Linked DNA regions of Macaca mulatta. The protein of the gene in region 1 purifies or fractionates together with the protein of each later gene. This does not show direct contact. Links are inferred from orthologs where the notes say so. Each region holds a gene or a part of one and is shown on either strand. Other genes may lie near its edges.

Evidence for each region. Proteins that work in one complex are often made in the same cells at the same time.
Region 2: the proteins of PEX1 (region 1) and PEX26 purify together in Homo sapiens (affinity purification with western blotting; 3 studies listed by BioGRID and IntAct, with this or other methods). This does not show direct contact. The link is inferred for Macaca mulatta from reciprocal best matches to the Homo sapiens genes PEX1 and PEX26.

Annotation. Positions count from the first base shown.
Region 1 is NC_133408.1:126,862,140-126,872,883, reverse strand, and holds the start of PEX1 (peroxisomal ATPase PEX1), read right to left. Parts: upstream 6,917-10,744; 5' UTR 6,892-6,916; coding exon 6,763-6,891; intron 3,690-6,762; exon of another isoform or gene 3,396-3,689; coding exon of another isoform or gene 3,372-3,395; intron 323-3,371; coding exon 179-322; intron 1-178. Other genes in the region: RBM48 (RNA-binding protein 48), read left to right, coding at 7,271-7,381, 7,935-8,125. UniProt on the Homo sapiens protein: Component of the PEX1-PEX6 AAA ATPase complex, a protein dislocase complex that mediates the ATP-dependent extraction of the PEX5 receptor from peroxisomal membranes, an essential step for PEX5 recycling.
Region 2 is NC_133415.1:33,994,954-34,005,741, forward strand, and holds the start of PEX26 (peroxisome assembly protein 26), read right to left. Parts: upstream 5,758-10,788; 5' UTR 5,386-5,757; coding exon 5,156-5,385; intron 3,884-5,155; coding exon 3,743-3,883; intron 1-3,742. UniProt on the Homo sapiens protein: Peroxisomal docking factor that anchors PEX1 and PEX6 to peroxisome membranes. PEX26 is therefore required for the formation of the PEX1-PEX6 AAA ATPase complex, a complex that mediates the extraction of the PEX5 receptor from peroxisomal membrane.

The DNA of each region.
Region 1 (10,744 bases):
ACAAAATAATGACCTAAAAACAGTATAGTCAGCTTCAATAGCCTAGACTAGTTACATAATAGCATACAAATTAGGTGTCATCTCACCTCCTTTAACAAAAAATGTAAACTTTTAATTTTATTTCTATTGCTATATTATGTGACATTAGAAGAAAGTTATTGCCATCACATGTGCTTACCTGTCCCCCATTTGAGAGTCCAAGTTTTTGACCAACTTGTCTGTTAATTTCAGCCACATTTTCACCTTGATCACTAAAATGCCTGCCTTCCACCCAGCTCAAGAATGCAGGCTGCTGACTCCAGACCACTTCTATAGCTTGATTCTATTCATATAAGAAATGAGAGGAAAAAAGGTTTTCATATACATTTTTCTGGATTCACATGAAAATAAACTATTATTTCAATTCACACATACAAAGAGAGTTCTATAGATAGTTCTCTGTTATCTACATTTGTTGTAGCATTTAAAAATCTATAATCATTTCCAACATCCAATGCTGGTGATGCTAATGAAGCCAATACCCTTATATTCTTATGGCAGTGTTATAAATTTAATCAACCCTTTCAGAATTCAAAATGGCAGCAGTCAGTCAATACACTTACATAGCAGTTGAGCCACATATAATTATTTGAGCATTTATTCCCAATTAATTATTCAAAGAAAAAAGAAACTACAGCAAAAGCTATCTGTGCAGTATTTTCTATAATAGTAAACACTTGAGACTGTCTTAAATGTCTATCAATAGGGAAACTATTAAATAAGCTATAAATTTACTAGTTTAACATAAGTTAATAAGTAGAAACATATATCATCTTTAAAAATGTAGCAATATAGTTTTAGAATTATGAAACACCAACCAGATGGAGTATGCAATCCATATTTACTTATTTATTGGAATAACAATAAATGCATGTGGCAAAAGCACAAGATGTACAAAAGGGTAAAATGTAAGGGTAAAATGTGAAGCCATGTCCCTGTTCTCAGAGGTAATTACTGCTGTTTCTTCTGTACCCTTCCAGAAACATTATATTATGCAGCCTCTTAATAATTTTAAGGGCTCATATAACTATGGGAATATAGGTTTTAAACAAAGCAAAATATAACATTTATTCTCATTAAAAGAGCAATTACATAAAACCTGTGTTTGTGGCCAAGGACCAAAAAAGGGTTTTCTATGATTAAACAATTACAAACTCATTATAGAGACCTTGGAAAATATATAAACTTGGAAGGAAACAAATGAACTACTGATATTCTCTCCACAAAAAAGACAACCATGTGAACAATTTGGTCTATTTCTTGTTAATCCTTTTTTCTATGTGCAAGTTTTTCATATAGTTGTGTTCATATAGGCACAATTTAATATCCTTTTCCCCTACTTATATTGCATCATAAGCATTTTCAAACTTTTTTTTTTTTTTTTGGAGACAGGATTTTGCTCTGTTGCCCAGGCTGGAGTGCAGTGGCACAATCATAGGTCACTGTAACTTGAAACTCCTGGGCTCTAGCAATCCTCTCACCTCAGGCTCCTGAGTAGCTAGGAATACAGGCATACACCACCACACCTAGCTAATTTTTTTTTTTCTATAGAGATGGGATCTCACTATGTTGCTTAGGCTGGTCTTAAGCTCCTGGCCTCAAGTGATCCTCCCACCTCGGCCTCCCAAACTGTCGGGGGCTTGAGCCACCATGCCCAGCCACATATATCATTTATAAAATAAAAAGAATTTTATTAATATGTATCAATAATAAATTTTAAAAACCAGCCAGGTGTGGTGGCATACACCTGTGGTCCCATCTACTTGGGAAGCCAAGGTGGGAGGATCACTTGAGTCAGGAAGGTTGAGGCTACAGTGAGTCATGATAGTGCCATTACACTCCAGCGTGGGCAACAGAGTAAGAACCCATCACACACACAAAAAGACTTATTATATCAGGAAGCTTCAGTGTTATTAATTTATTTATATCAAAATAAATTCATTAAGTTAAAAATATTAGGCCAGGCGCAGTGGCTCACATGTGTAATCTTTATACTTTGGGAGGCTAAGACAGGAGGACTGTTTGAGCCCAGAAGTCCAAAGCCAGCCTGGGCAACATGGCAAGATCTATATCTCTACAGAACATTTTTCATTAATTTAAAATATCAAATTCTTTCATTTACATGGAATTTTTTTTCCTGAGACAGGATCTCACTGTGTTGCCCAGGCTCGAGTGCAGTGGCACAATCACAGCTCACTGCAGCCTCAACCTCCTGGGCTCAAGTGATCTTCCCACCTCAGTCCTCAATCTCTCAAAGTGCTGGGATTACAGGCATGAGCCAACACGCCCAGTCTTTATGTTTCTTGTGTTTCTTTTTTTTTTTTTTTGAGACGGAGTCTCGCTGTGTCACCCAGGCTGGAAGGCAGTGGTGCAATCTCGGCTCACTGCAACCTCCGCCTTCCAGATTTGAGCAATTCTCCTGCCTCAGCCTCCCAAGTAGCTGGGACTACAGGCCCCCACCACCATGCCCAACTAATTTTTGTATTTTTAGTAGAGACGGGGTTTCACCATGTTGGCCAGGCTGGTCTCAAACTCCTGACCTCAGGTGAAATGCCCACCTCTGCCTCCTACAGTACTGGGATTACAGATATGAGCCACCGCAGCCAGTTTATGTTTCTTTATATGAGACAAATTTCAAACAATGTTGGAGTCACTTCTGGGACAATATCACGTACTGGAAATTAAACACATTATTACACTTTTATATTTAAGAAAGCCATCATCATGTATCACTTAGTTGTGTAATTTTTCTCACAATTTTCACAAAACAGTCCAACTGTTCTGGCTGACAAATTCTTTCAACTGAGTGTATTTTGCCTAGCTTTGGAATCAAAAGTCTTCAGTTACTATGTCAGCTGTAACTGTGTGAGCTATTACAAGAATGAAGGTGATCAAGTCCCAGATACTTTCTGTGGGTTTTCATCCGAGTCAGCAATACATAATCCAGATCAATTCTACTTCATATGAAGAAACTTAAGAGATGGAAATACGAGAGATGCCCTGAAATATCAAAAAAAGGAAACTCTACCAGCTCACTGAAAAAAAGGAGAAATGAACATTATTGAGGAGGAAAAATACTTCTAATTATTTATTTGGTCAAAAAGGAGTAACCAGCTCCATAAAGTCATAATATGTACTCAGTTAGATTTAGCAAACTTTGCACACCAATGTTCTAATTTTTATGTCAAAATACTTCACTTGAACCACAGAGCCCTGGCTATTCAGGTAAAGAGAAGAAAGAGACAGCTAGAAAGGAGCCTCTTTCCCAGGAGTCAAATCAAATCAATCAATTAATTGACCTTCTTTGACCCAAACTGAGGTATCAGTATTACCAGGAAATCTGCAGGTAAAACCATCCGTCAGAATGCCTTAGGAATGTCCAGGTCCAAAGCCTGGGGTATCTCTTGCTAACACAAGGGAAATGAAAATTGTGTGGCCATATCCGAACGGTGATTTAGGTTCGTTTGCATTCACTGTGTATATGAATCCTCTCTCTCTGTTGCAATCACATCAAGTTCTGAGTACAGAGAAGGTAACTTAGCTGAAGCAGTGGTCTCAACCAGAGGTGATTTTGTCCTTCAGTAGGCATCTGACAATGTCTGAAGACCTTTCTGGTTGTCACAAATAGGGGGAGGCAGTACAGGCATCTACTGGATAGAGACCAAGGGTGCTGTTAAACATTTAAAATGTACAGGAGAGCCCCCAAAACAAAAAATTATCCAGCTCAAAATGTCAACAGTGCCAAGGTTGAGAAATCCTGACTTCAAGCATCTACTGGGGAGTCAGTCCTGAAATAATGACTTGAGTAAACAAGAGAATACAATACTTGAAACATAGAACAAAGTATATCAAATGTGATGTGTCACGTAACACAATAGAGAAGTATTGAAAGGGAGACAAACGTGGGCAACAGAGAACTGGAAAGCTATGTGGAGGAGGTAGGATTATACTCTTTTCAAAGACATGGAATTTGTATGGAAGGAAGAAAAACGACTGAGGGAAGAATGGCATGAGTAAGAGAACAGAAGTGGGAAGGAGATTGGTTATAGAAGAAACGGTGAGAAGGGTAGGTTGGGTGACGCAGAGTGAGCTATAGACAAGAGGGCAAATTAGCTGCATGGCAATGGTACTGGCCTAGGAATGCCATTTTCCTTACGTGTAAACGTACAGAAACAACCTAGATGCTTAAGGTCTCTATGGTCATTAACATTCTATGATTCTAGGACAGTAGGTCTCAACTCTTTTGTGCATCCAAGTAGCCTGAATAAATTTTTTAAAATTAGAGATGCCTAAAGTCTATTCCCTAAGATTTTGATTTAATAGGTCAGAGGGTTGATCACAACATCTGTATTCTTTTTTTTTTTTTTTTTTTTTTGAGACGGAGTCTCACTCTGTCGCCCAGGCTGGAGTGCAGTGGCGCGATCTCGGCTCACTGCAAGCTCCGCCCCCTGGGTTCACGCCATTCTCCTGCCTCAGCCTCCCGTGTAGCTGGGACTAGAGGCGCTCGCCACCACGCCCAGCTAATTTTTTTTTTTTTGTAGTTTTAGTAGAGACGGGGTTTCAGCGTGTTAGCCAGGATGGTCTTGATCTCCTGACCTCGTGATCCGCACGTCTTGGCCTCCCAACAGAACATCTGTATTCTTAAAAGCTTCAAGGTAAGTCTGACATAAGCCAGAAAACCATTGTTCCAACCCCTCTTCCCATTACTGCATGATCTGTATTATGTACTCAATGTTTCACCCCAAATAAAATAATTCAAGTATTAACTCCCAATTTGTGAACCTTTCGGCTTTCATAATTATCTATGGCCTCTAACCCAAGAATTCTGGGAATCTATCCTAGACAACAAGAAATAAAAATGATGTTTTCTAAACAAAGATGTGTTATTTTCAACGTTTGATTAAAATATAGTTTATCACTTCTAATGCCTAAAAATTAAGTACAATCTAAATAGTCAATCATAGTGAACAGTTAAATAAATTATGGCAAATTTGTGCTAGAATACTAATTAACAACTTAAAAAGATGACCTTTTAACAAAATAAAACACTCATAATAACATTAAGTAAAAACACTAGGACACAAAACTGTATGTGTGTATATAGGACTTCATTTCTGTTAAAAATGAAGATTAGAAACAAAACTGGAAGATTTGATCCAAACTGTCAACATTAGTCACCTCTAAGTTCTGGGATTACGGGTAATTTATTTTCCTGTTAACAATTTTCCATGCTTTCTAAATTTTCTACAAAACATAAATTATATAAATTTATATAATTCATCAAGAAATAAATGTATAGATTTATAGAATCTATAAAGTCATAAACTTATTACATTGATAATTAGAAAGCAAAGTTGACCTATTCTGCTAATATGGGCTGAACAGAAACAGCAATTTGTTCCAGGGCTAAAGACATTTACATTTCAAAAAGATATGCATGAATTAGTTCCTATAAGTACTTCTTGAAGGCTCAAAATTTAAAACAAGATCAAGACCACTAAATTCTTAAATAGTGACGAATGTAAGGTAACATGAATTAATTCTTATAAATACTTCTCGAAGGCTCAAAATTTAAAACAAAGATCAAGACCACTAAATTCTTAAACAGTGATGAATGTAAGGTAACAACTACATCTTAGGATCAAATTAGAGTTACTGTAAGAAAGCATTCCTACTATCATGAGTGGATTTGAAAACATGTTGAAAAATCCCATCGAAGCTGACAGAGCACTGAACCAACTTCTACCTGGAACTTGGTGACAGTGACTGATTTGTCTCTAACCATAAAGCCCATCAAAAACCAAGATTGTCTACTTAGTAGTAAAAAATAATAACGACGATGATAGGAGGATTCTGCTGAACTCATGTTTTCAATGGACCAAAAAAATCTTCCCCTAGGTATGGAGAAGTAACTCAAGTGGAAAGAAGGGATGCTTGAAATTATTGCAAACTCTTTATTCATTACATAGATTAGCCACTGGTGGGTACCATGCATCCAGGATTTATGAAGATTTCAAATACGCCGTCCTTTTGCCCCCATAACCACACTCAAACTCGTGAGACCATGTGCCTCTATTTTTAATTACGAAAATAAGGACGCTGTATCTCCACCGGTGGTTAGAACTGCGAAACATCCCAACCACAACGTCCAGAAGGGCGACTGATCGCAGAGCTTCAAGTGATCTTAACTACGTTATGTGTTCCTGACACACTACAGCTGTGTTCCGAGGGTCTGGGACGCAGGGCAGAACCATTACTGTATTAAGCTTTCCCGCTCATGGGACGCGGTGCTCAGTCCCCGGGGACCGACAGGGGCTCCACCAACAACTCTGCGCCTCCCTCTCGCGGCCCGGACGGCAGCAGCGCAGGTAACTGGAAATGACTGGCAAGAAAAGCACCTTTTAAAATAACAAAAACAAACCACTTATCAGGAACTTTTCCAGCCTGGAATGAGGAATATTTATAAAAACAGTGGTAGAATATTAGGACATTTCTAGGCCCAGTTTCACCAAGTGAAAAGACCTGGGATAAGACGAGCCCAGGGCTGCACTGGACTTGCGGGATGCAGAGACTAACCAGAAGGGCCCTGCCGTCGAGGGACCCTAATCTCTGTACGCTTCGGGGGCGCCCGGGTGGCAGCCGGTGTCCCGCCGCGTCCCTGAGAGGCTTCGGCCTTGTCCGACCCCAGGCTGAAGATCAGGTGGCCCGGGGCCAGCACGTTACCTGCAGCAGGTGCAGCTGGGCCACGAGACCCCGCGGCAGGTGGAGGAAGCAGTCGCGAGCGTTGGTGAAGGCCACAGTCACTGCCGCCCCGCCTCCCCCAGCACCCGCCAGGCGATCGCTGCCCCACATCGTCCCGAAGCGTCGCTCTGGGTTTGCCCACCCTAGCGCCGCAAAGGACACGGGACCTGGCAGGCCGAGGACGTCGGAACCGGAGGAGATCGATCGGCCCCGCCCCCTGAGGCCCCGCCCCCTCTCCCCGCTGCGCGTCTCGCCGTAAGCCTGTAGTGGGGTGGGACAAGAAAGCTTCTGTCACCCACCGCGCCTCTCCGCCAAGCCGCTCGGGGGCGGCACCTCGTTCATCAAATCCTCGCACGCAGGAAACGATGGCCGACGCTGTCGATTCTTCAGCCAATCCTGACACTCCTTAACTCATCCCGCTCTCTTATTGGATAAAAGGGAGGTCAGCAGGGCGGATGTTGTCCTCCCTGCGAGGATCAAAGTAGGCAAGATGGCGTCCAGCGGTGGGGAGTTAGGGAGTTTATTTGACCACCACGTCCAGAGGGCGGTGTGCGACACGCGGGCCAAATATCGGGAGGGACGACGGCCTCGTGCTGTCAAGGTAAAGTGATTTTTGGTTTCATTCGCTCTCCTCGGTAGCTTTTTGTGAGCGCTAGCGCCATATGGCTAACCTACGGAAATAAAGGCACGACAAGGCTTCCGTCAGATCTGTCGCTCATTAGAGCTGGCGTGAAGAACCCTGGGCCAGGTACCAAAGATTCTCACGACCCTTTTGGTCAACTATTAGAACATCAACTCCACGAGAATAGGGCTTGGTTTTAGTCATTGGATCTTCAGTGTTTACAGTACTACTTGGCACAGGTAAGCGCTCAGTGAATATTCGTTGAGTGATTGTTCCCAGTGACTTCTGCCGACTCAATTTCTGGAAAAAAATGTCGACTGAAGGTAGTCTGTTATATGCCTTAGGTAGCCTCTCACATGGACTGTTACTCTTTATGCAGAGGGAATGGCAGAAATTTTATTTTGTGTTTTTTGCTGACTGGGTTGAACAGATTATTTCTTGTTTTCAAAGTTCTGTTTAAAAAAAAAAATAGAGGCAGATTCGTCCTAGGCTTATTTGCGAAATACGTTTAATAACTATGCATTTCTTTCAGGTATATACAATCAATTTGGAATCTCAGTACTTATTAATACAAGGAGTTCCTGCTGTGGGAGTCATGAAGGAATTAGTTGAGCGATTCGCTTTATATGGTGCAATTGAACAGTACAATGCGCTAGATGAATACCCAGCAGAAGACTTTACTGAAGTTTATCTTATTAAATTTATGAACTTACAAAGTGCAAGGTAAGGTGCAAGTTAAGCAATGACTCGTTTCATTTCCTCCATTCATATTTCTGTCATTTTGGCCCCAAGTTTCCCTCATTCATATCTGAATTACCCCAAAATGTAATCTAGCATATCTTCCTACAGCCTTTTTACAGGTTAACTTTACTGAAACACTGTATCCATCACATCCCATGCTTAACAATTTAATGTCCTGTAGCGTGGTAGAGTAAAAGTTGGGTTTGGCCAGGCACGGTGGCTTACGCCTGCAATCACAGCACTCTGGGAGGCCGAGGCAGGCGGATCACGAGGTGAGGAGTTTGAGACCAGCCTGGCCAACATGGTGAAACCCCGTCTCTACTAAAAATACAAAATTAGCCGGGTCTAGTGGCGCATACCTGTAATCCCAGCTACTCAGGAGGCTGAGGCAGGAGAATTGCTTGAACCCAGGAGGCAGAGGTTGCAGTGAGCCGAGATTGCGCCATTGCACTCCAGCCAGGGCAACAAGAGGGGATCTCCGCCTCAAAGAAAAAAAAAATGGGTTTGAGGGCTGGGCGCCAATAACTCACGCCTCACGCCTGTAATCAGAGTACTTTGGGAGACCGAGGCAGGCAGATCACTTGAGGTCAGGGGTTCAAGACCAGCCTGGCCAACATGATGGAAACCCCGGCTCTACTAAAAATACAAAAATTAGCTGGGTGTGGTGGTGCAGACCCGTAGTCCCAGCTACTCAGGTGGCTGAGGCATGGGAATCGCTTGAACCCGGGAGGTGGAGATTGCAGTGAGCAGAAATCACACCACTGCACTCCAGCCTGGATGACAGAGCGAGGCTCTGTCTCAAAAAAAAAAAAAAAAAACAGAAAAAATTTGGGTTTGGCGCCAGGCATGTGGCTCACACCTGTAATCCCAGCAGTTTGGGAGGTGGAGGTAGGCGGATCACCTGAGGTCAGGAGTTCAAGACCAGTCTGGCCAACATGGTGAAACCCTGACTCTACTAAATACAAAAATTAGCTGTGTTGGTGCAAGCCTTTAATCCCAGCTCCTGGGGAGGCTGAGGCACAAGGATCACTTGAACCCAGAAAGTAGAGGTTGCAGTGAGCCAAGATCATGCCATTGCACTCCAGCCTGGAAAGAGTGAGACTGTCCCAGAAAAAAAGAAAAGAAAAGAAAAAAAAGTTGAATTTGATCCCAGCACTATGGAAGGCCAAGGTGGGCAGACAGCTTGAGCCCAGGAGTTCGAGACCCGACTGGCCAACATGGCAAAACCTCACCTCTGCTAAAAATACAAAAATCAAGGTGGGCGTGGTAGTGCATTCCTGTAGTCCCAGCTACTTGGGAGGCTGAGGTGGGAGAATCAGTTGAGCCCAGGAGGTGGAGGTTGCAGTGAGTCATTTATGGACCACTGCACTCCATCTTGGGTGATGGAGTGAGACTATGTCTCAAAAGAAAAAAAAATGTTGGGTTTGGAGTAAGTTTTCCATTTCCACTGCTTACTAGCTTTGTGATCTTGGACAAGTTATTTAACCTGTTTAAGTTTTTCCTGTTCCGTAAAATCTATATGGTAAAGGGACCTATCTACTTCTTGAGGTTGTATGAGGATGAAATGAGATAATCCATATAAAGGGTTTAGCAGAGTGCCTCCTGGTCAGAATACAGTAAGCATTAGCTATTGTGGTTTCTACTGTTACTCCTTTCTGCAAATTGACTCAGTGTTTTCCGGCCTTCTATGTGACATAAACCCTCTGCTCCAAAAAGGCTGAAGTATGCAATGCCTTATCTATTTTTATGTTGATCTCTGTTCTCCTCACTAATCTGCTCTGAGACCCATCCTTCTCTGGCTGTTACAATTCATATTTTCTTTCATGTGCTATCAGTAGAAATCATAATCTACCACAAAAGCACTTGATTTTACTGGGTCATGTGTGGTTTTCTCAGGCTGCTGTTATATGTAATCTCACTTTCTTAACCAATCTGCCAGCTGTCATGGTTAGAGAAATATTTTCTCGAGCTTTTCTGTTTTCCAAAGTACCTAGTCTAGTAGGCTCTGAAGTAAGACATCTGGATTTGAATCCTTGCTCCTCAAACCAGAGTATGAGCATGGCTAAGTTATGTAATGTCCCAGTGCTTCTGTTTCATTACAGGGTTGTTGTTAGGTGTTAATTCAAGTGAAGCACTTACAACATTGCCTGGCATATGGTAAAATCTGAGCAAGTATTTGTCATTATCCCTGGATACAGAAGTAGTTAAATTTATTGTAGTACCTGGCCAATCATAGATGTTTAGTAAGTATTTATTGACTGAATAACATTCTTCTCATTTTCTCATTGTTATATGTTTAATAGTTCCTCAGTTATTGAACGTTTTATGATTATAGTATTTTTCATCTGATTTTTAAGGCAAGAATCCCATTACAGAAATACATTGTGCTGAAAAAGCTTAATTGGGTATGAAGTAACTCTTCAGGGCCACAGAGAAAAGCTCTATTTTATGACCACAGTTTATATACTTCAGGCCAACCAGCTGGGTCTTTAGTTGTTTAAAGACTAGGGAACAAAGAGGCTCGAAGGGAAGAAAAGGGGAGGCTCTAAGTACATACTCGAACAATGGGATGAATACTGTCCACAAGCAGAGCATCTTAAT
Region 2 (10,788 bases), on another chromosome or scaffold:
TCATGGGGTCAGGAGATTGAGACCATTGTGGCTAACACGGTGAAACCCCGTCTCTACTAAAAATACAAAAAAATTAGCCAGGCATGGTGACGGGCACCTGTAGTCCCAGCTACTTGGGAGGCTGAGGCAGGAGAAAGGTGTGAACCTGGGAGGCAGAGCTTGCAGTGAACTGAGATCACGCCACTGCAGTCCAGCCTGAGCGACACAGCAAGACTCTGTCTCACAAAAAAAAAAAAAAAAAAAAAAGAGAAAGAAACAAAAATCCCGAAATTCTTATGGAACCACAAAAGACCCCAAATGGCTAAAGCAGTTGTGGGCAAAAAGAACAAAGCTGGAGGTATCATATTACCTGACTTCAAACTATACTACACAAAGCTATAATAGTAACCACAACAGAATGGTTCTGCTCTCATGGTATGGCATAAAAACAGACAAAATAGAACAGAACAGAGAGCCCAGAAATAAATTCATGCACCTACAGCCAACTGATTTGCAACAAAGGTGCCAAGAACACACACAGCGTAGACAGTCTCTTCAATAAATGGTGCTGGGAAAATCAGATATCCTTATGCAGGAGACCAGACCCCTACCTTTCCCCACACACAAAAATTAACTCAAAATGGATTCAAGACTGAAGTGTAAAATCCGAAACTATGAAACTGCTAGAAGAAAGCAAAGGAGAAATGCCTCACAACCCTGGGCTGAGCAAGGGTTTTTTAAAGTAAGACCTTAAAAGCACTGGTAAGAAAAGCAAAAATGGACAAATGAAATTACATCAAACTAAAAACTTCTGCATAGCAAAGGAAGCAATTAAGAGTGAAGAAACAACCTACAGAATGGGAGAAAATATTTGCAAACTATCCATCTGACAAAGAGTTAATATCCAGAATATATCAGGAACTTAACAGCAGGAAAAAAAAAAAAAAACCTGATTCAAAAGGGAAAAAGACCTCAATAGACATTTCTCATTTCTCAGAAGAAGATGTACCACGGCCAACAGGTATCTGAAAAAATGTTCAACACCACTAATCACCAGGGAAATGCCAATCAAAACCACACTGAGACACTACCTCGCTCCAGGTAGAACAGCTCTTATTAAAAAGGCAAAAGAAAATCAGTGTTGGTGAGGGTGCGGATGTGGAGAAAGGGAGCACTTACACACTGCTAATAGGACTGTAAATTGGTATAGCCATTATGGAAACCAGAATGCAGGTTCCTTTAAAAAATTCAAAATAGGAAAGACGGCACTTCCTTTTGCAAGTGGTGGCAAGTGCTGAGAGAATGCCATGAAGGCCTTGGGCACACTGCAAGAGTATCTGCCGCCTGTTCACCCCCAAATGCTGCCCTTCTACTGCCAGCAAATCTCTGCACCTAAGCAAGTTGTTGCCAAGTCCCGCTTCTGGTACTTTGTATCTCAACTAAAGAAGATCAAGTCTTGGCCGGGCGTGGTGGCTCACGCCTGTAGTCCCAGCACTTTGGGAGGCCAAGGTGGGTGGATCATGAGGTAGGGAGTTCGAGACCAGCCTGACCAACATAGTGAAACCCCGTCTCTACTAAAAATGCAAAAAATTAGCCAGGCATGGTGGCGAGCACCTGTAATCCCAGCTACTAGGGAGGCTAAGGCAGGAGAATTGCTTGAACCCAGGAGGCAGAGGTTGCAGTGAGCCGCAGCCCGGGCAACAGTGCAAGACTCCATCTCAAAACAAAAAAAGAAGATGAAGTCTTCAGGGGCAAGTGTCTACTGGGCAGGTGTTCCAAAAATCCCCCTGCAAGTGAAGAACTTTGGCATTTGGCTACACTATGACGCTTACTGCAGCATCCACAATATGAATGCAGAATAGTGGGACCTGACCACCCAGTGCTACCAAGATGGGCACCTGGCACCATGACCAGGGCCTACACCATCTGGATCATGAAAGTGGAGGAGATTGCAGCCAGCAAGTGCCCCCGGCCGACAGTCAAGCAGTTCCACAATTCCGAGATCAAGTTCTTGCTGCCCTACCAGGTCCTGTGTCTTCAGCACAAGCCACATTCAACACCAAGAGTCCCAACACCTTCTTCTAGGTACAGGGAACTCTCACCGAGTGTCATCAAAATAAACTCAAGAATGGCCAGGTGGCCGGGCGCGGTGGCTCAAGCCTGTAATCCCAGCACTTTGGGAGGCCGAGACGGGTGGATCACGAGGTCAGGAGATCGAGACCATCCTGGTTAACACGGTGAAACCCCGTCTCTACTAAAAAATACAAAAAACTAGCCAGGCGAGGTGGCGGGCGCCTGTAGTCCCAGCTACTCGGGAGGCTGAGGCAGGAGATGGCGTGTACCCGGGAGGCGGAGCTTGCAGTGAGCTGAGATCCGGCCACTGCACTCCAGCCTGGGCGACAGAGCGAGACTCCGTCTCAAAAAAAAAAAAAAAAAAGAATGGCCAGGTGAACAAAACAAAAATAGAACTACCACATGATCTAGCAATCCATTATCTCCCATGTTTAATGCAGCACTGTTCACAATGGCCAAGATATGGAATCAGTCTAAGTGTCCAACAATAGATGAATGGATAAAGAGAGTGTGTGTGTGTGTGTGTGTGTGTGTGTGTGTGTGTGTGTGTGTGTAATGGAATACTATACAGCCATGAAAAAGAATGAAATCTTTTCATTCATGACAACGCAGGTGGACCTGGGGGACATCGGGTTAAGTGAAATAAGCCGGGCAGAGAAAGATAAATACTACACGATTTCACTCATGTGAATCTTTAAAAAAAAAAAAAAGTTGATATTATAGAAGCAGAGAGTAGAACAGTGGTTACCAGAGACTGGGAAAGGAAGAAAAGGGAGACAAAGAGGTTTGTCAATGGGTTCAAAGTTACGATGGGATAGGAGGAATAAGATGTGGTGTTCTATTGCATAGTAGGGTGGTTATAGTTAACAGTAAGGTATTGCATATTACAAAATAGCTGGAAAAGAGGCTTTTGAATGTTCTGATCACAAACAAATGATAAATGCATGAGGTGATGGATATCCCAATTACCCTGATTTGATCATTATACAACATATACACAGCATATATTGAAATGTCAAACTTACCCCAAAAATATGTACAATTACAAGTGTCAATTTTTAAAACTTTGCTTTTTTTGGCCAGGTATGGTGGCTCACACCTGTAATCCCAGCACTTTGGGAGGCCGAGGAGATCGAGAACGTCCTGGCTAACACGGTGAAACCCCATCTCTACTAAAAATACAAAAAAATTAGCCGGGCATGGTGGCAGGTACCTGTAGTCCCAGCTACTTGGGAGGCTGAGGCAGGAAAATGGCGTGAACCCAGGAAGCTGAGCTTGCAGTGAGCTGAGATCACGCCACTGCACTCCAGCTTGGGTAACACAGGGAGACTCCATCTCAAAAAAACAAAAAACAAAACAAAACAAAAAAACTTTTTTTTTTAAGAATTAGAAATTCCCAGGATGTAGCAAGCTGCTCTTTCAGCTCGGTCCACTCTGTCATCCCATGTCACTCCTATTCCCTGTCCCCTCCCTTCTTTATATCTATTCTACTCCTAAATTCCTCCTCCCTTATTCTTTATTGCTATGTATGGAACTCTAGGAAAAAAAGAAGAAGTGAAGGGAAAGAATTAGATGTGGAGGGCAATAGTAGGGAAGGGGAAAAGAGTAGGTATTAGGCCCAGATTGCGGAGAGGAGATGCAAATCCTCTTGTTTCTGAAATGATCTGATGAGTCAGCAAAGACGACTCACCACAGCTCCAGGACTTTGGGGGGTAGCTTTTCAGGGACCTGGTAATACTGAAGGACCCAGGAGAGGACTTCTTGCCACCGATCCATTTCTGCCAGGGCCTGGATCCCCACAACACACAGGGAGCACTTCACCTCCAAGGAGCTGTCAGCAGAAAAACCAATTTCAGTTAGAAGTGGTTCCCCTCCATTTCCATGCCCACCTCCACCTTGGGACTGTTCCTCTCCAGCTCCCAACTCAGCAGCCATCATCTCTCTCATCCCTGTTAGTACTTAGATGGGCTTCACAATTGGTCTCATGGGCTGCCCTTTCCCCCAGGAACTAAAAGTTCCTGTAAACCTCTTAAGAGGCAAGTCAGCTATTGCTCAACGTTCTTCTTTGTATCCAAGTGAAATCAGATTTAAATGAAGAGGAAGGGTAATCCTGAGGGGGAAATAACACGCATCACCGGTGTGTGGGACAAAAAAGAGCTGGAACTAAGTTTGCTCAGTGAACAAATGGGCTTGCAGCAAGGTTTCTGGCTGAATGGAGGTATAGCAACTCCACAGCTGGCTAAAAGACACCACCTAGTAAGGTTCCTCCAGACACCGAGAAGCAAAGCCTTCTGCATTCACTGAAATGAGCTTCCACCCAGTACCCTAAAACACAGCCAGGGCTCTCCAGATCATCCTTCTCTGCGGTCAGCTTTCGCTATTCTACCTAACACCTCCCTGGAGTGGCCTAACCCAACTTTACAATGCAAAGAAATGACGCTCTCACCTGCCAGACAAGGCTGGTGGCACTAGAAAGAGCAATGCAAGCCCAAGGTTTTTTTCTCCGGATTCTTTTCTTTTTCTTCTTTGTGCTAGAGAAGAGGGCTCATTATGTTACCCAGGCTGGTCTCGAACTCCTGGGTTCAAGCAATCCTCCTGCCTCGGCCTCCCAAAGTGCTGGGATTACAGGCGTAAGCCCCCGCGCGCCCGGCCCTGAATTAATTATTTAATCCATTCTTCCAATTGGACCAGAACACTGCTCCTGCCATGACCCCCATTCCCCATCATCCGCAAGGTCAGGAATAAACAACCTTGGGCGGGGCGGGGCGGGGCGGGGCGGAGGTACCTGGGAGAGGACTTTTACCACCTGCTTACTGACAGAACTTAGCACTTAATACACATTCAGCCTTCGCATCATGCCATTCTACCCTGGAACAAGGAGCAAATAATTGGCCGTGGGTTCGCCACTAAGCTCTTGTTATACGACTTCCCTCCTCTGTAGAATTGGCACACGATGAGCAACCACCCTGTCGGAGACAAACCACTGATGAAAGCGAGGTGTAAAGCTCCTTGTGGGCAATCTGGGAATGACAGAACTCCTGAGACCTTGGGCCCCACCATAAGAGCACCCGGAAATCGGTTCATTTCCGAGCCCAGCACGTACGTGCCCGCGGGTTCCTCTGGCAGGGCGTGGTTGGCCAGACTCTGCCAGGCCCGCTCGCAGGTCTCCAGCGCCGCCCGGAAGTCCAGGTGCACCACCAGGAGGTCGGCCGCCTCCTCCAGAAGGTCCACGGCCGGCGACCGGGCCGGGGCCGCGCGCACCGGCTCGCTGCTGCGCAGAGGTCCCCCAAGCCCCCTGAAGGGGGCTGCAGAGGTCGAGCAGTCGCTCTTCATAACGAGTCCGGGCCCAAGGCCCAGGTCCTCAGACGTCGGAGTGACCGCCTCCCCAGAGGCTCCGGGATATCCCGAGTTGGCCTGGGCGAAAAGGGAGAGTCCTCATCTCTGCCCACACCCCTTCCCGAGGTCGATTCCCCGAGAAGGAAAAGGAAGGGGCCTGAGGCAAAGGCAGGGCTCGCCTGGAGGCTGAGGAAGCAGTTTACATGTCGAATTTGCAGGATTCTTGCATCCTTGGAATACCTGGCCCTAGCGTCTCCGGCCCCGCGACACGTGCAGGAACTGCCTCAGCTCCGGGCGCCTGGTTACGGTCAAACACTCTCACCTCGCCTCCCAGCAGCGGGCGCGGACATCTTTGCGCTCGCCCCGCCCCGCAGCCGCACGGCGTCCCAGCGGCGCGGGGTACTCTAGGAGTTGTAGTTCCGCAGCTCCCGGCCCATCGGCTTCTATAACGGAAACAGGCGGGAGATTGTGGACTACAACCCCCAGCACGCCGCGCCCCGGAAGCCGCCCCTGTTCCGTGAGAAAACAAAGTGCGCTACAGCTTCGGAGTGGGGAAGTCAAAACAAAACAAAACTGAAGCTGTCTTGTGAAATGGAGGGATCTTCACTAACCAGTTCCAGCGGAGGCTAACGGAAGAAATGCCAGCAATGGATTTGCAAATACATGCACGCTTCCAATTCAGAGCTTCTGCGACGGCGGCGATCAGGGAATCTGTAATGTAATGTCAAGGCTGAGGCAGAGCTGATCACACATTTTGGCAACCTTAGTCTTGAATTAATTCACACTTTCTCCGCGTTGCCTCCATAGTTTGCTTTGGGAGAATAAATATTGCCTGGTGAGGATGAGGGACTTAGGGTGGAAACCTTCACAAGGATCACTGAGAATATGTTGGTCCCAAGGGCAGTGTTCCAAAGTGAATAGTGACCCCACCGACGCAGGGTTGGGGGCGCTGAGCATAAGGGCCTCATTTTCTCACTGCTTTGTACCCCACCCTGGATTTGTTGTTAGAAAACGTTAAATGCAGATACCAATTCTACCTCCCCACTGTTGTCACTTCCAATCTGTCCTTATTTTATATTTCTCGTTATCGTTTATCACCATCTACATACCAGTGTCTATATTTTACTTACTTTTTTTGTCTGTTTCCTTCCACTATGATACAAACTCACAAAGGCAGACGTTTTTGTCTCTTTTGTCACTGTGGGAACCTCAGCGCCTTGAACAGTGCGTGCCATCTATAGGTAGTCAAAAAGTATTTGTGGAATAAGTGAAGTTGTGGCTTCACTTTTATCTGGTTACAGAGTCCATACTTATCTTTCCTCGGAATCTGGTGGACTTGGTTCTGCCTCAGCTTCCCCTGCAGACTTTTCCGCAAGAGAACAGAAAGCCCAGAAGATGGATGTGTGTATGTCTGGTGACAAGGGTAGGGGATGTATGATGTGAGCAGGTGCCTGTCTAATTTCTAGGACAGCAAAAATTCTAGGGAAGCTTTGGAGAGAGTTCAAAGGGTAGAGAACTGGGGAGAAACTAAAGCCAAGAGGACCTAGTACAAAAGTGGGAAGCAAGGCAAAGCCCGAGTGAAACAGAATATAATAATGTGTGATTAGTGGATCTGTTTAAAATTATTATTATAGTTACAATTTACCACATACTCTGTTCCCAGTACTTTATTATAAAGTGCATTATGTATGGTATAGTTTTGTTTTTCACAATGTCCTTATCTTACATTGTGTAACTCACTCATGGAATGACTGTGCATGCCCTGAATAGAAAACATACTTAGTTCTGTCCCTGCAGAGCAGAGTAGGGCTCAATACACGCCTTTGAGCCAAAAGAGCCTCGGTTTGACTGAGATTTTGTCACTTACTAGTTGTGTGACCTCGGCAATTTATTTAAATGAGCTCCGATTTCCTCACCTGTACAATTGGGATAACAGTTTGTCCTTAGCTCCCGATGGCTGAGGGAAGAATTAAGTGAAATTGCGCACAAAGCGCCATGCGCGTTAAGCACTGAAAACTGTGAGCCAGGCCTGGGAAGACGGAACATGCTCAGAATCGGCCAGCCCTAAGTGGCTGCTGCCTGGGAAAGTCCCTTTCCTTAATTCCTAACAAATTTCTTGCTATTCCAAATTTGTCCAGGAGATGGACACACAGTCTTAAAAGAAGCAGCCTTGCTAAAAGTAAATTTGCCTATTTAGTAGTGAGACAGCCAGAATGAGGTCAAGATATTTAAGGCAGGAGAGAGGAGAGCTAGAAACCATGTAAAAATATGATTGTATTCCACTTCTGATTCACCCAATTTTCAACTATTCCCGGGCTTCGTATCTGTCCGTATGTAACCACTGTTTAGCACTATTATGCCCACAAATGGATTCCTCAACACACATCCATTGGGATACATCATCTCCTCTGTGTCTACAAGTACCTAGAATTTCTCAAGCAAAGACACAGAAATGCTAAACAGAAGCGAATTCATTCCCCCTGGGGGAACGTGAATGGGTATTGTCTTTACTTAGCCAACCTTCTCTCTCTAAGTTGGGGCTCATGGGACAGCCTTTGAAATCACCTCTTCTTCTCTCATTTCCTCATCCTTGAGATAAAAAACAGTGGAACTAAGGACAGCCCTTTCAGATGTTTAAGGCCAGGCCCATATTAATATTTGTATTGTTGCTCACGCCTGTAATCCCAGCACTTTGGGAGGCCAAGGCGGGCGGATCACGAGGTCAGGAGATCGAGACCATATTGGCTAACATGGTGAAACCCCATCTCTACTAAAAATACAAAAAAATTAGCCGGGCGTGGTGGCGGGCGCCTGTAGTCCCAGCTACTCAGGAAGCTGAAGCAGGAGAATGGCATGAACTCAGGAGGCGGAGCTTGCAGTGAGTGGAGATCCGGCCACTGCGCTCCAGCCTGGGCGACAGAGCAAGACTCCGTCTCAAAAAAAAAAAAAAAAAAAAAAAATGTCTTGTTTGAATTGCTTCGTTTTGGGAAAACTAGCAGAGCACCTGAGATGCCGGTATCCTCGTTGCGACCCCTTCCCTAGCCCTCCCTAGGCTCTGGAATTTGGGGTTGTTCCTTCTATTCGGCAGAGGGCTCAGTGTGGCTCCTTCATCTGAGGAAGCAGATTTGTTCAGCCTGCTGCCGCAGGGGATGAATTGTTGTTCTTGTAACAGAAAGCACACTGGACTGGAGATGACAGGCACAGTTAGAATCCTGGTTCCTTCAGGTGGGGCACAGTGGTTCATGCCTGTAATCCCAGCACTTTGGGAGGCCGAGGTGGGAGGATTGCTTGAGCTCAGGAGTTCAAGACCAGCCTGGGCAACATGGTGAAACCCTGTCTCTACAAAAATTACAAAAATTAGCCAGGCGTGGTGGCGCATGCCTATAGTCTCAACTGCGCAGAAGGCTGAGGTGAGAGGATGACTTGAGCCCAGGAGGTTGAGGCTGCAGTGAGCTGAGATCACACCACTGCACTCCAGCCTGGGAGACAGAGTGAGACCTTGCCTCAAAGAAAATAAATAAAAATTTTTAAAGAATAAAAATCCTGGCCGGGCGCGGTGGCTCAAGCCTGTAATCCCAGCACTTTGGGAGGCCGAGATGGGCGGATCACGAGGTCAGGAGATCGAGACCATCCTGGCTAACACGGTGAAACCCCGTCTCTACTAAGAAATACAAAAAATAGCCGGGCGAGGTGGCAGCGCCTGTAATCCCAGCTACTCGGGAGGCTGAGGCCGGAGAATGGCGTGAACCCGGGAGGCAGAGCTTGCAGTGAGCTGAGATCCAGCCACTGCACTCCAGCCTGGGCTACAGAGCAAGACTCCGTCTCAAAAAAAAAAAAGAATAAAAATCCTGGTTCCTTCAGTGACAAAGCCAGGTGACCTCTAGAAAGTCACCAGATTTCTATGTGCCTCAGTCGTCTCGTCTGAGGACACTAATACTAACACCTGCTGCATAGGGTGGCTGTGAAGAGCAGAAGAAACCATGTGACAGTCCACTGAACACTTGTCAATCACGGACTTGTTCAGGCTGATGTAAGGCAAGAAAGAAGAAAGAATTTCGGCCGGGCACGGTGGCTCATGCCTGTTATCCCAGCACTTTGGGAGGCTGAGGCGGGCAGATCACTTGAGGCCAGGAGTTCAAGACCAGCCTGGCCAACATGGTGAAAAACCATCTATACTAAAAATACAAAAGGGCCGGGCGTGGTGGCTCAAGCCTGTAATCCCAGCACTTTGGGAGGCTGAGACAGGAGGATCACTTGAGCCCAGGACTTTGAGACCAGCCTGGGAGCAAAGCGAGACCCCATCTGTATTGAAAAATGTTTTCTAATTAGCTGGTCATGGTGGCACGTGCCTTGTAGTCCCAGCTACTTGAGAGGCTGAGGCAGGAGGATCGCTTGAGCACAGGAGTTCAAGGCAGCAGTAAGCTATGATGCGCCACTGCACTAGAGCCTTCGAGCCTGGGTGACAGAGCAAAACCCTGTCTCAAAAACTAAAAAGCATACATCTGAGGTCAACCTAGCCTGTGTTGCCTTCTCCACACTGGTTCCACATTTCAGGCCAATAAACAGCATCCACAGCTGCCCCATCGAACATCCCAACCAGCCAGAACCCCTCCGTACAGAGACATCTGTGGCAAAGCTCTGCATGCAATAGGTTCAGACCAAGTGGGGACCTTTGGCCAGAAGCGAGCCGAGGAGATAAGTATAGGTGGGGTGGAGATATGTTTTTCCAGGATGGTCAAGGCATGCCTCGCTTGCTCCAGACGTTCATCAGTGGGATGGCATTTTTATGGCTCTTTTTTAAAGCCTGGACTAGGAGTTCAGGGCAGAACTCGTTGCTGCCTCTAGTGTTCCTCTCCATGTAGACACAGCAGAACTCTGCTTCTGTGTCTAAGAAGTGACCATCATAATCGTCCTGTATAGCACTTTACAACAATAATAGTGATGGCTCAATTTATATAGTATGATATTGACTATGCAGTAGGTGTTTTTCTGAGTGCTTTATTTATTTATTTAGTTAGTTATTTGAGACAGGGTCTCTCTGTGTTGCTCAGGCTGGAGTGCACTGGTGTCATCACAGCTCACTGCAGCCTCAACCTCCCGGGCTCAAGCGATCCTCGTAACTCAGCCTCTGAGTAGCTGGGACTACAGGCACATGCCACCACGCCTGGATAATTCTTTAATTGTTTGTAGAGACGGGGTCTCACTATGTTGACCAGCTTGTCTTGAACTCCTGGGCTCAAGGAATCCTCCTGCCTCAGCCTCCCAACGTGTTGGGATTACAGGTGTGAGCCACCACACCTGGCCTGAGTGCTTTACATTTAACTCATTTGAATCCTTATAACTATATGATGGAAGCCCTAGGCTCACTCTTATTTTGTCAAGGAAGAAACTGAGTTATGG